2 linked regions of the Nothobranchius furzeri genome follow. The protein of the gene in region 1 interacts with the protein of each later gene in a biochemical or structural test. Links are inferred from orthologs where the notes say so. Each region holds a gene or a part of one and is shown in the gene's direction. Other genes may lie near its edges. The genes, in order: atg9a and AP-2 complex subunit mu-A.

The links.
Region 2: the proteins of atg9a (region 1) and AP-2 complex subunit mu-A interact in a biophysical measurement, tested with the Homo sapiens proteins (4 studies listed by BioGRID and IntAct, with this or other methods). The link is inferred for Nothobranchius furzeri from reciprocal best matches to the Homo sapiens genes ATG9A and AP2M1.

The regions. Positions count from the first base shown.
Region 1 is NC_091758.1:23,767,195-23,771,745, forward strand, and holds the start of atg9a (autophagy-related protein 9A), read left to right. Parts: upstream 1-1,731; 5' UTR 1,732-1,919; exon of another isoform or gene 1,920-1,976; intron 1,977-2,170; 5' UTR 2,171-2,220; intron 2,221-2,753; 5' UTR 2,754-2,795; coding exon 2,796-2,898; intron 2,899-2,974; coding exon 2,975-3,018; intron 3,019-3,090; coding exon 3,091-3,155; intron 3,156-3,247; coding exon 3,248-3,397; intron 3,398-3,484; coding exon 3,485-3,626; intron 3,627-3,747; coding exon 3,748-3,888; intron 3,889-3,964; coding exon 3,965-4,085; intron 4,086-4,229; coding exon 4,230-4,551. UniProt on the Homo sapiens protein: Phospholipid scramblase involved in autophagy by mediating autophagosomal membrane expansion. Cycles between the preautophagosomal structure/phagophore assembly site (PAS) and the cytoplasmic vesicle pool and supplies membrane for the growing autophagosome.
Region 2 is NC_091751.1:56,902,627-56,905,919, forward strand, and holds the end of AP-2 complex subunit mu-A, read left to right. Parts: intron 1-457; coding exon 458-577; intron 578-762; coding exon 763-898; intron 899-983; coding exon 984-1,081; intron 1,082-1,194; coding exon 1,195-1,306; intron 1,307-1,667; coding exon 1,668-1,802; 3' UTR 1,803-2,663; downstream 2,664-3,293.

The DNA.
Region 1 (4,551 bases):
ACCCACACATGCACAAGGAGAACATGCAAAATCCATGCAGAAAGATCCCAGGCTGGGAATCGAACCCAGGACCTTCTTGCTGCAAGGCAACAGCTCTAACCACAGGCCACTGCGCAGCCCTGGAATGAATCATTACAGCAAAAATATTCATTATTCACTAATGTGAAGTATAGGACACTTAATCAAACACATTTAAAACAAATTGTTCATTCAACAGAATATGAATATATGAAATTTTAAAGTAATTTATGTCGCCAAAGATAGACTTTATTCAAAGAGTAAAAGATAAGGAGTCCAAATCTTGCAGCCTTGAGGACTCATGATGCATGCAGGATTTGCTAAGAATGTTGGCTCAAGTTCATAGATTTCATTTCGGCACCACGGTGTCAGATTGACCTGTATGAAGCAGTTTGGCCAGCAAGTTAAGAGTTAACTTCTGGTCATTTTTGATCAAGTACTTGGCCTTTTGGTACACTACACTGGCTTTGTGGAAAAATTATCTTTGTATTCTGGACCCAGCTACTGGACAAAACTCAGAGAATAGAGAATATTTGCAAAAACAGATAAAAGCAATTTTTGGATCAAAATCATCAATGTTACCGATATAAACCAAAGCAAGATGTATTTTCTGGACATTTATTTAAAAAATATCTGTTCTTGTAAATCAAGTCTTAATTTCTAAGACAGAATGATTTTTACCCAAATTTAAATTAATTAAATATTTAAGAAATGTTTTAGAACCAAACATTTTCTCTTCCTCAACCCTTGCCTGATGTGTCTTCTTGTTTGTTTTGTTTTCGGCTTTCACATGTAAACAACAAACCAATACTTGTGCAATACTGGATGTACATTGGTATGTCTGTGTCCCTTATGCTGCATATTTTTAAAAACTCGATTTTCTATTTTTATTTGCTGTTTTCATTGTTGAAGGTACATCAATAGCTTACTGCCTTTGTGTAATTACCTGCAATCTTATTTTTCCTCCATCCTTTTCTCTAATTGTATGTGCTGCTGTAACGAGTGAATTTCTTCATTGTGGGATTATTCTATTCTATTCTATTCTAAATAACATTCAATAATTCACATGATTATGCAATCAATTTAATAAATGAGCAAAAACTGTTTTCTGTAAATCCGACATGATTGTAGTACTAGAGAAAGACCACACGGTGGCAGTAAAGTATTCATTAAAAACGGTGACTTGAAAGGAGTGGAGAGATTTATTATCGGACAGCTCTGCAAGGACTTCATTTTAAAATGGGAAAATGTTGTATTTTGTTTTTTTCGCAAGCACAGAAATGAAGGTGTATACTTTGTTATAAATTTGTTAATTATTCTAGCTAAATTCTATCTCCACAAATGCAAATATAGTAACCAAAAACCTAATTTCAAGCACTATTATAGTGATACTCTATTTTACATAAAATTGATTAGTGGATCACTAAACAAAAAAGCTTTAAAAAACTATAACTATTTGCACCACCTATAATTTATTTGGATGTGTGTAACATTTCTGTAGTGCACCCCCTGGCACATGTTGCATCTTCTTGGTTCAATTTTGTATGCTATTTGTTTGTATACTTATGACCTTGTTCAATAAAGTTTTTTTTTTGGGGGGGGGGGGGGGGGAGAAAGGAGTGGAGAGATGAAAACCTTTTGATCCCACCCTTTTTCTGTTTCGTCAGACAAGTCCTTCTCTGATTGGATAATTCCTCTGTCACTCACTGATGACAGGCTGCACGCAGCTAGGCGTTTCGAAAATGAAACTGTCTCGTACCTGACGTCGAGAGGGAGCACAGAGGAAACGAAAAATAATATAGTTATCTTAAATTCCAGGAGATTGACTGTTCTACACCCACCCAGTAAAGGAAGAGGAGCCAAGTGGCGTGGACTCCATGCGGCTGGGACCGAGAGGAGAGGTAGGAGAGGCAGGCCTGTTGTGTCAAAGCACGAAAACGTCTCTTGTTGTTTTACAGGTAATTAGTCATGGCTAATAAACATTAGCATAAATAACATAAAACTGACATTTGGAGTAAGTTTTGCTTTGATTGTGTGTGTTTGTGTGTTGTGTAAGCTGTCAAAATCGTAAGGATGGAATTTTATTAGGGAAAGAGGCTATTTTTGAATAGTTTTTATTTTAAAAGTAAAATATATATGAATGTTATTACAGCTGGACACGAGCTATCGGTTTAAAATGGGACGGGCCATACTCCAAATAATGTAAGTCTGTATTGTTATTATAATTGTAATAATAATAATTATAATAATAATAATTATTATTATTACATGTTTCCTAATGTGATTTTAAAATTTGAGTTCCAAGAGTGTCTTTGGGATCTCTTCAGTGCTTATAGCAACACTTTAAACGTGTAAGCAGGTTTGAAAAAACTTTTATCACATTTACTTCATTATTAATCAATTCTAGTTGATGATTTCAAAGGGAGCTGCAGTATGAAGCAACAGAGTTTCATATCCTCCACTGATTCTCATTTGATATCATCCCCAGATCATGTTTCATAAGGCATTTTAAATCTATTTTCTAATTTGGTTTTGACATTTCAAACATTTATAAGCATCTGGTGTATTACTGAAGGTGCTCTTTTTTTCAAGGTGTTTGGTTTTAAATTATTGTTATCAACAGAAATCTGGTGGCAGCTCCAAAACCAAAGCTCTGTCTTTACCTGTGTTATCTACAGGATGTTCAGGATAAGAAAGCTGGTAATGATTATCCTTGTCTCTGATACCTTCTCCAGCCTGTAGTTGTGACTGCTCAGTCAGACTCAAGCCCGGTCACCATGGCGCATTTTGACACAGAGTACCAGCGCCTGGAAGCGTCCTACAGCGACTCTCCCCCCGGAGAAGAAAACCTGCTGATGCACGTGGCCGAAGGAAGCAAATGTATGACATGCACACTTAAATGACATCACATATTGCCCAACAACGTCTTTATTTATCAACGATTCTTGTCATTCAGCCCAGTGGCATCACATTGAAAACCTGGACCTGTTTTTTCAAAGAATATCCTTTTTTACACGATTGTTACAACTACATTAGACCAATAATCTCACAATGTTCCTTAATTTTCACCACGTCTATAATCTTCACCAGAAGAATGGATTCACCTGCATGTTGTTGGGGGAGATCTTTGAGCTGGTGTACGTATCATAAACCTTAGTCATGTTATAGTTGACGTCTTGTCTTTCGTCTCTTTAATCCTTGCTGTTTGGTCCCGACCTCCCCCCCGCAGTCAGCTGCTGTTTGTGGTTGGCTTCACCGTGTTCCTCGCTAACTGCGTGGATTATGACATACTTTTTGCCAACAAGTTTGTAAACCACACTAATTCTTTTAAAGTCACTTTGCCTGATGCATTCCTCCCAGTGGATGTCTGCAGCGCTCAGTGAGTCTGACATTTTATTCACAATAAATCTACATTTTCCACACTAAGATTTGCCTGATTGTGACAAAAGAATTGTTTTTCTTGCAGCATTCGAGACAACACGTTTGTGATCTTCGTGTTGATCATCTCCGGGGTGTTTTGGCTACATCGCTTTGTCAAATTTATCTACAACGTTTGCTGTTACTGGGAGATCAGATCTTTCTACATCCACGCCCTCAAGATGTCCATGGTGAGATGAGACAACATGTCCTCAATTGTTTGGTGTTTTCAAAATAACATCCAGTCAAGTTTGTAATGTTTACAAACATCAGAGGCTGACCTTTAACCTCTTCTTGTGCTCCGTGCTGCAGTCTGAGCTCCCCTATGCAACATGGCAGGAAGTTCAGGCCAGGATCATCGAGATCCAGAAGGAGCACCAGATTTGCATTCATAAAAAAGAACTGACAGAGCTGGATATTTACCACCGCATCCTCCGCTTTAAAAACTACATGGTGTGTACATTTCTGCTGGCATGGTGACTGTTCAACAGCTGATCAGATGACAGATGTGCTTCCTGTTCTTCTCTAGGTTGCTATGGTAAACAAATCTCTCCTCCCTGTGCGATTTCGGCTTCCGGTGCTCGGAGAGTGCGTCTTTTACACTCGCGGTCTTAAGTACAACTTTGAGCTCATCTTTTTTTGGGGACCAGGTGAGTTAGAAGTGTTTTTGATTTGTTTTTATTACATTCGACTCAAGACCTTGTAGCTAAACTGATGTTTCACTCATGCATGTTAACATCCCCGTGTCTGCATGTTTGTGACAAGTTTCAGAGCTTTTCATTCCGCTTCTGTAGGCTCTCTGTTTGAGAACGAGTGGAGTTTAAAACCTGAGTATAAGAGAGGAGGCAACAGGCTCGAGCTCGCCGACCGGCTGGCGTCTCGCATCCTTTGGATTGGGATTGCTAATCTGCTGCTGTGTCCAGTCATCCTGGTGTGGCAGATTCTTTATGCTTTTTTCAGTTACACCGAGGTAAGCGCTCCACATCCACGCATCAGAGCTCTGAAGTTTTATTTCTGCAGCAGCAGCTTGTGTTTGTGCACCCAGGTGATCAAACGAGAGCCCGGTTCTCTGGGGGCGAGATGCTGGTCTCTCTATGGTCGATGTTATTTACGTCA
Region 2 (3,293 bases), on another chromosome or scaffold:
TTATGACTTTGCTTTTCTTGTCTAAATAGTTCTGTCCTTGAGCTCCGACTAAGAAATTCTTTTGTCCTTTTGTTTGCTCTCCTTTTGGATGGCTCTCTGTCTTTTATCCTTTCTTTACTTTGTGCTGTACCACAGTGATTTAGGGGGAGGAAGGTACGATAGCAACAAGGTTCCTCTCCCTCCACCGCTTCATTCTCCTCCTGTGTTCTGCCCAGTAACTGTTTCATCATCCCTAACCGTCCTAGTTCACTCTTTACCCATCATCATTTACTGTAGTTTTGTAGTAATAATTTAATCCAGGTTCAAATGTTGTCTTCTAGCAGCCATGTCTTTGTACTTAAGTATACTGGTGGATATCCAGAGAGTAGATTTTATCTGTAGATTGGAAAAGGATAGTTAAAATCCAGACTAGTAACAAGTTAGTTGGTGTGTCTGATGCATCTTCTGTCCTCTTCAGTGGGAAGCAGTCCATAGCCATTGATGACTGCACTTTCCACCAGTGTGTGCGTCTCAGTAAGTTTGATTCTGAGCGCAGCATCAGCTTCATCCCTCCTGATGGAGAGTATGAGCTCATGAGGTCAGTAATGGTAGTAGATTATTAGAGCCTAAAGCATCCATGAATGTCTGCTCTGATAGATCCTGCTGGGTTTTTATTTATTTTTTTATTTTTCCACTCATTCAAAATTTTGGTGGATTGATAATTCCCCCCCCCCCCCCCATTTATTTTTATTAATTTACTTTTTAAATGTATGTATTTTTCAGATATCGCACCACTAAGGACATCATCCTGCCGTTCCGAGTTATTCCTCTGGTCAGGGAGGTGGGTCGCACCAAACTGGAGGTTAAAGTGGTCATCAAGTCCAACTTCAAACCTTCGCTGCTGGCTCAGAAAATTGAGGTCAGCAAACACATTTTTACATTTTTGATGAAATTCTTTAAGTTTTGACTTCACTGGTAAATATCTGGGCTAATTCTCTCCTCAGGTGCGAATTCCAACACCCCTCAACACTAGCGGTGTGCAGGTGATTTGCATGAAGGGAAAAGCCAAATACAAGGCCAGTGAGAACGCCATAGTCTGGAAGTGAGTTGGAGCTTAGATTAAATTTAATTAACAATCTGAACTCGATGTTTAACCTCTCAAGTATTCCTGTGTGGGAATGTTTCCTTTGTGAAGCTACAAGTTTGCATTTGCAGGATCAAGCGGATGGCTGGGATGAAGGAGTCTCAGATCAGTGCTGAGATTGAGCTGCTGCCTACCAACGATAAGAAGAAATGGGCCAGGCCTCCCATCTCTATGAACTTTGAGGTAAGCGCAGCACAGTCCAGTCTGTCCTCCTTTAAGCTGTCACAGCTTAAGAGCTTCCTAATTTCAGTCGGATTCAAAGTGAACTTTTCTCTTCCAGCTGATGTTTCTAAAACTATATTTATTCTGTGAACAGTCACAGACATAGATAATAATAAGTTAGATATTTCCCAGCTTCTCCTGGTGGCTGAGACTGTAATGTGGTGTTGGCAGCCAAACAAATGGACTCTGGGTTAAATCAGATCCCAGTATTTGCTAAGAAACTTAAAAGCCGTTTAGTGTTAAACAAACTCAGAGCTTCGGTGGTGGGTAAACAGAGCAGCCCGCCTGTCCTAACATGTTCCAACTTCCCTCTCCTCTCCAGGTTCCTTTCGCACCCTCTGGCCTGAAGGTGCGCTACTTGAAGGTGTTTGAGTCCAAGCTCAATTACAGTGACCACGACGTCATCAAATGGGTGCGGTACATCGGCCGCTCCGGCATCTACGAAACCCGCTGCTGAAGTTCAGCCCCGCCAGGCAGCAAACTGACCACTTCCCTCCCATCTTTCCTGTCATTTTATTCTTCTTTCCTCCTCCTCCGTCTTTGTTCCTCCCTCTGTCCTTATCACTTTTCTCCTTCCCCATCATCCCTTCTTAACTAGGTGTCGGAGATTGAATTTACATCGTTTAAAAGAAAAACAAGTAAATATGGTGTAATTCAGATATATGCAAAATGTGAACCATTGTATCGTATATATCTAGTAGTGATGAGTAAAAAATGTAAACCATCTGGTGTCCGAATGAAAAAGACAAGTGATGCCGGGTCTCAGGGGGAGAGGGCGGGAGCTTTGTGTATCCAGTGTTATCGTTCTTCTTTTCTCCGATATAGAAATCCCACGTCAGTTAACCCTGGGAAGGGGGTTCGTCACTATTGTGATTTAAAATAAGTCCTGATAGTTTCTATATATAAATATCCTGGTAGAGTTGACCTTTTCAATGAATCGGTATTTGATGCTACATGCTCGTCACTAGAAGGTAAATCATTCCCAGCCGACTGTCGTTCAGAAAGAAATGACGCTGAGCAAGTTGGTTTTGTACTTGGACGTTACTGATCCTTTACCTGTGTTCCTTTTCCCTCCGCTTTCAGAGTTATGCCAGGCAGGTTAGACCTTCATCCTGATTGGCTTATTCTGACTCATTCCCACAAACATTTTATAAGCACTAAGATTAACTTTCACACTATTTTTGGATTTAAAGATCAGTCTGCAGGGTTTGCAGTGAGGTGATGTCTCCCCCTGGTGTTTGCTTCGCCACTGTCTGCTTCATGTGTGTAGCCCTGGTGACCGTTCTGTCCAATAAAATCTATGTAACCAAACATCTTACCCCTCCTTTTCAGCTGTGTTTTTTATAATACTCTGGGGGGGGGGAGTACAGTCATTTTTCTCCATTACTGCTGTCAAAAGAAAATTGAAAGGGCAGAAAAAATTAGATTGGTTAATCAGACCAGAAAAACTGTTAAAAACTGTTAACTTTTTTTATTCTTGGGTCTACATCCAAAATATCAGACAAAAGTAACAATTAAAACTACTTGTGTACATTTCTTTGCCTTCTGCCATTCGAGTTAAGTGGACGTGATTCGTAGCTTAGCACCACAAGCTAGGCTGGATCTCTCCCCTGCAGTTTCTCTTCAACGCTCAAATCTGATTAGCAATGACAGCCAACATTTACACTAATCATTACAATGTCTCGTTTTTGCTTGGATGAAAGACATGCTTAGATCACTGAAGATGGGAAAATCCAGGATATTTGACTAGACAATTCTGTTACTATGATCCTCGTTTGTGCCCATGTTTAAGCTACAGGTGACGCCATCAAACAGCATTAGTTAGTGGAAGTACTGGTTAACCCTCAGATTGCCATCGAAGTGTGCTAGTCATGAGGAACTTTTAAAACCCTCTTTAGGAAGAACATTTGTGTATTTCCAAGATGAATATAAAAACAATACCTGCTGT